Kluyveromyces lactis: one gene and its partner. The protein of the gene in region 1 interacts with the protein of each later gene in a biochemical or structural test. Links are inferred from orthologs where the notes say so. Each region holds a gene or a part of one and is shown in the gene's direction. Other genes may lie near its edges.

Region 1 (3,650 bases):
TTCTAAAATTGGAACATAATGCCGAAATGAACGAACTTACAGAGAGATGTGAGTTCTATACCGAGAATTGCTCTTTGTTAGAGAGAGAAAATGAATCTTTGAAGGCAGTTGCCAGTGCATATCGTCAATTACAGGACATTGTCACGGAAAAAAACATTATAATAAGCTCATTGGAGGTAGAAAATCGTTCTTTGAAAAAGCAAGTGGAGACAAAGGCAAAGGATTTGGAGCTTTTGTCAGTGAAGCATGAAAGGGAAATTGCTAAATTAAAAGATCTCTCAAAGGCTGAAAGAGGCAGAATTTTAAAGGTTTGGGACAGAACAGACTACGAGAAGGCATTGGATTCAAAAGAAGAGGAAATCGTTAAGTTAAACCACCGTATCAGTCTATTGGATCTGATAATAGACAACAAGGTGACAGAAATAAAAAATAATGAGAGCAGATACAGGGGACTTGAGACAAAAGTTGCAATTTTAAGTAATGAAAACATAGTTTTAAAGTCAAAACATGACGAGGTTATCAAAAAGAAGAAGGAAGACCTTGCATTTTTCAATGAGAAGTTTCAAAAAAGGTTGTTAGCGATGAAACGTGAAATAGATAAAAATGCTGACATGTATCATAATGAACTACAAAGCTACAGGACTAATTACGAGAAAACTTTAAGTAGTGCCTTAAAAGTTACTCTTAAAGCAGAATCTGCGCTTAGTGCCATATACAGCAATAATGTGGATAGATTCGGGTCTACAAACCGGACTTTGAATTATTTTATGAAGAAAAGAGATATGTTCCAAAATATCAGAGACAATATGGTCTCCAACAAGCCCAAACCAGAATACAAACCTGCGATCACCATTACAAGTGTTAGTGATGGCATAGAAAATAAAGACAATAGAAACGAAGAGTTACACTACATATCAGAACAAAAACAAGGTTTTAATGATTCACTCCGTGAGCTTAAAGTAGCCAATGTGAATAGCAACTGTTCCTCAAGGTCGAAACACAACGCTAAACAAATTATACAAAAGCTCCGAGAGTGGAAGCAAAACCAAAACACATCAGAGCTATCGCCAGACAAAGAAGATTCCATATTTTCAACTGGAATTGAGACAGATTATTCAACTTCAAATATCGCACAGTTATCCACTAGGAACTGGGCTAGCGCTTTGAAGAACAACTATAACGCCAAGTACTTGGAATCTATCTGAATGAAAACAGCGTACTAAGTTAACAGAATTTAACCTAACATAATGAACATATTAGCAGCTAGTTTAGTCCATTAAATAAAAATGCAAACTCACTTCCTAGAAGGCTATAAAAACTACTCTCACTTGGCAATGCTATTTCCAATGTCTGTCATATATACTTAAACGTCAAGGTGAATATAATTCATTACCCGGAAATAATTGCTTTTTGAGATATCTGAAAATTTTCTACCTGAAGAAAAAAATTTGATGAAGACGATGAGATGAGATGAGCTTTAACAAGAAAAGTATAGAGTTCTATTAGAAGTAGATTCATCTTACTGGACTAAAAACTGTCACTTTAGTGTAGATTCTGCTTTACGATATTGTTGCTACTATCCTTTTATTGTTTTCTCTCGATATTTGAAGGAGATAGTGTACTGGATTGTTCGTTAGAAAGCTAATAAGTAAGATAGAGATCGATGTCTGACGAATTTGTTATTAAGCCAGAGAGTGTTTCACCATCTAGTAACACTAGTGAGTGGCCTTTATTGTTGAAGGACTATGACAAACTATTAGTCAGAAGTGGTCATTACACACCAATTCCAGCTGGTGCCTCTCCTTTGAAGAGAGATTTGAAGTCATATATCAGTTCTGGTGTCATCAATTTGGACAAACCTTCAAACCCATCTTCTCACGAAGTTGTTGCTTGGATCAAGCGTATCTTGCGTTGCGAAAAAACAGGTCATTCTGGTACTTTAGATCCTAAAGTCACTGGTTGTTTGATCGTCTGTGTTGACAGAGCTACCAGATTGGTCAAGTCTCAACAAGGTGCTGGTAAAGAGTATGTTTGTATCGTTAGATTGCACGATGCCCTTAAGGACGAGAAGGAATTGGGCAGAGGTTTAGAAAATTTGACTGGTGCTTTGTTCCAAAGACCTCCTTTAATTTCTGCTGTTAAGCGTCAATTACGTGTCCGTACCATTTATGACTCCAACTTGATCGAATTTGACAACAAGAGGAACTTGGGTGTTTTCTGGGCTTCCTGTGAAGCTGGTACTTATATGAGAACTTTATGTGTCCATCTTGGTATGCTTTTAGGTGTCGGTGGCCATATGCAAGAGTTGCGTCGTGTTAGATCCGGTGCTTTGTCCGAAAACGATAACTTGGTCACCCTACATGATGTTATGGATGCACAATGGGTATACGATAACACCAGGGATGAATCCTACCTAAGAAAGATCATTCAACCATTAGAAACTCTATTAGTCGGTTACAAAAGAATTGTTGTCAAAGATTCTGCTGTTAACGCTGTTTGTTACGGTGCCAAGTTGATGATTCCAGGTCTACTTCGTTATGAGGAAGGTATTGAATTATATGACGAAGTTGTATTAATCACCACCAAGGGTGAGGCCATTGCAGTTGCCATTGCTCAAATGTCTACTGTCGATTTAGCTACTTGTGACCACGGAGTTGTTGCCAAGGTTAAGAGATGTATCATGGAAAGAGACCTATATCCAAGAAGATGGGGTCTTGGTCCAATTGCCCAAAAGAAAAAACAAATGAAGGCTGACGGTAAGCTAGACAAATATGGCCGTGCCAACGAAAATACTCCAGAGACCTGGAAGAAGACTTACGTTTCATTGGAGAATGCTGAACCAACTACCGCCCCTGCATCCAAATCAGAAGAAAAACCACTGATCAAAGAAGTAGAAAAGAAGGAAGTCGAACAGAAGGAAGAATCAAAGGAAGAATCAAAGACACCAGAAGAAAAGAAGGACAAGAAGGAAAAGAAGGAGAAGAAGGACAAGAAGGAGAAAAAGGAAAAGAAGGAGAAGAAGGAGAAGAAGAGAAAGGCTGACGATGATGAGTCTTCCGAGAAGAAGAAGAAGAAGTCAAAGAAATAAACGACTACAATCTAAGTCCTTCATATCATCGATCGAAATTTCAAAACTGCATAGAGTTTATCATTTAGGTTATGTACACTGTAGAATATTTTTAATCATTGAAAAACGTATTTCGTCACGACTGTTTTTTGTACCCTGTGTCGATGTTGTATATCATTGTATTCGTATATATAAATTTGTAAATTATTTATGCGCGTGTGAAGACACCATTACGTCTTCAATTGAAGTAATGGCAAAAAGTAATGGTAAATGTATGAGGTAGATAGAAGATTTGATAATAATACTTGGAGTTTTTTTTTTTTTGGCAGACATCAATTGTTCGGAACCAAATAGAAGTCGGGAAACTTGCAGATTGGTATGTCTTTTATTTGCATGATGTCATTTGCTCAATAAAAAGGTAAATGAAGGTTAAAATCTATGCAAATGGTTACATTGTGAACAGAAGTCGAGGTGTCACAATGAAACGTCCCGTTTCTTACTTTACCAGTATTAACAATCATTGAATAATTCTCCTTGTATTCTCTCGCATATTATATTGCGTCCTCAACTTATGTTGCGTGCT
Region 2 (2,595 bases), on another chromosome or scaffold:
TTACTCTCCACGTATCGAACAGAATCCAATTCTCCAAGTTTCCCGAACTTGTATTTCACTCTATTCTCAATCTGATGTGGTTTCAAAGTTTTGTTGTTGAGTGCCCCTGTAATACCACCCACGTATAAGACACGGTTAGGTTTCTTGAAGGAACCTACCCCACCCATATCATCTCTATAATCAGCAAATTTCTCTCTTCCAAAACAATCTAACGCAGAGGAATGCAAAGCTAACCTCGCAAAATCATCTGGCTCTGGAATATGATGCAAGTACCGACAATTTTTGCCTAAACAGCACATTCCCTTAGCGAAATACAAACAGAAATGAATCCGACCCTCTTTATCACCTTTAGTGATACCAGAATCGTTCTCGGGATCAAGCGAGTACGGTGTGACGAACCTAGTGGACCCACTTTGCCCCTGTGACCATTTGTTGTACCATACGTTGAAAGCCAAACCCGTCTGAGGCGGTACTGATGAAGGTAGGTCAGACTCCTGTAACTGAACCCTTGCTGGTCGGTTCTTCCAATCCCCAGTCATAATATATTGATGACGATGACCTTAATATTTGGCAATTTGCCAAACCAAGTATTCTTTAATGACCTCGAACAAGCAAACAGTTTGAACCGTCCAATTTATGCAACAACAGATACCGTATTATAACGGTGAAAACTGTATCTTGTCGAGCACACATCTTCCATGTTCATCTCATCGCAGGCCAAAGTGTTTTCAATAAACTTCAAGGTTGGAACTTTTCTTTAGTGAAAACGATCATGATCAAAAACAAAATGGAAACGAAAAAAAGATAAGTCTCCCGGGGGCGAGTCGAACGCCCGATCTCCAGATTACAAATTGCTTTGTGTTTTCAAATTACAGTCTGGCGCCTTAAACCAACTTGGCTACCGAGAGAAGTTACTTGTGTGTTGTAATTTTCAATGATGCTATAACCAAACTTCAAGGTTTACTAAGACTACATTGCCTGACATTAAGAGGTATATGGAGTATTTAAACCTTTTAAAGTATTTAATTATACAAGTGAAGTGATCACAGGACAATAATGCCCTGCACCTGGAACAGCTAATTTCTCCTACAGAGTTTAATCATTGTACATATTGTTCGCCATTTAAAACTCCAAGTTTTGTATGAAATTAAAGGGACTCATCCAGAATAATGTTAGGCGATGGACATTTCTACAACTGCTATGTACCACCTCCGAAACAAGACGCTGGCACGATATTCTGAAAAGTTGTTTATGTGTCGCATGGATTAATTTATGTCGTCCCTACTGTAATTGATACTTTATTTCTTTTTCATGTTACTCGGTACTGGAAAATTTTCATTTTTTGTTAACAAAAAGAAGAGCGATGAGTATGAGAATTGAACTGTTGAATGAATCGATGAACCTATCTTGCTGATGTGATATTGATTCCTTTCTCAATCAATTGCTCGCTCTATTTGAACCAGGGGAACAGTGAAGAACTATACATAATAACAAAGATGGCCAAGGATAAGAGTGTATCAACAGAAGACAACTACGAAGCTAGACTTCCTGCCGTTCTACCATTTGCAAAACCTCTAGCATCAAAGAAACTGAACAAAAAGGTGTTAAAGACCGTCAAGAAGGCTTCCAAGGCTAAGAATGTCAAAAGAGGTGTCAAAGAGGTTGTCAAGGCTTTGAGAAAGGGTGATAAAGGGTTAGTAGTCATTGCTGGTGATATTTTCCCACAAGATGTTATTTCTCACTTGCCAGTTTTGTGTGAAGACCAATCTGTTCCATATATCTTTGTGCCCTCGAAGCAAGATCTAGGTTCTGCTGGTGCCACCAAGAGACCTACTTCTGTTGTATTCATCGTTCCAGGCTCTAACAAGAAGAAAGATGCTAAGGCTAAGGAAGAAGAATACCGTGCTGCATTCGATGAAATTGTTAAGGAAGTAAGCTCTTTGTAGAGATATGAAAACTGTCGACAGAACAACCGGAAAAGAGAAAGTTATAATCGCAAAACACCGAGTGTTTCGTTAATTGCTTCCTGGTGTTGGCTTGTTTAATTAACCCCAACTACTTCCACTTCACAACTACTATTTTTGAACTCTTCTTGCAATGCATATACTGAGACTGCAAGACTAATTTCCAATTGGCATATACCAGTTGATTCGAGCATCTACTTACACCCACCTATCTGTAAAATAAATATTAATATCTATGTACCGAAGTCATCAAATCATATAGATTACTATCGTTAAAAGCACTCTGCAATTTGTGTATTCTGTCTCGATTTGTATACCAGCGTTTTTTCTAACAGTAACAGAAACCAAATAAAAGAAAACATCATATTAAGTAACATTCGTGAAGTACTAACGGAATATGTTGCCCAAGATTAAGATAACCTTCCATCCCATTAATTAAGATCCTATATAAGGGATACAAGCACTCTATAATGTATGGAAAGAAAAGGCAGAGACCGGCCTCTGCAGACTTTCGCCATTCTCCAAATAAGAAACAACAAACAACGTTAGTGCCTAATAAATCCAAAACCGATGACTTATGGAAGGTTCTATCCAATGTAACAGAGGACCAAAGTGTCGCTCAATTACCTAT

Evidence for each region.
Region 2: the proteins of CBF5 (region 1) and NHP2 form a complex in vitro, tested with the Saccharomyces cerevisiae proteins (2 studies listed by BioGRID). The link is inferred for Kluyveromyces lactis from reciprocal best matches to the Saccharomyces cerevisiae genes CBF5 and NHP2.

The regions. Positions count from the first base shown.
Region 1 is NC_006040.1:407,642-411,291, forward strand, and holds CBF5 (pseudouridine synthase CBF5), read left to right. Parts: upstream 1-1,663; coding exon 1,664-3,088; downstream 3,089-3,650. Other genes in the region: KLLA0_D04774g (uncharacterized protein), read left to right, coding at 1-1,205. UniProt on the Saccharomyces cerevisiae protein: Catalytic subunit of H/ACA small nucleolar ribonucleoprotein (H/ACA snoRNP) complex, which catalyzes pseudouridylation of rRNA. This involves the isomerization of uridine such that the ribose is subsequently attached to C5, instead of the normal N1.
Region 2 is NC_006039.1:1,335,928-1,338,522, reverse strand, and holds NHP2 (snoRNA-binding protein NHP2), read left to right. Parts: upstream 1-1,496; coding exon 1,497-1,946; downstream 1,947-2,595. Other genes in the region: active spliceosome conformation promoter CWC2, read right to left, coding at 1-539; SNU56 (Snu56p), read left to right, coding at 2,435-2,595. UniProt on the Saccharomyces cerevisiae protein: Non-catalytic component of the H/ACA small nucleolar ribonucleoprotein (H/ACA snoRNP), which catalyzes pseudouridylation of rRNA and is required for ribosome biogenesis.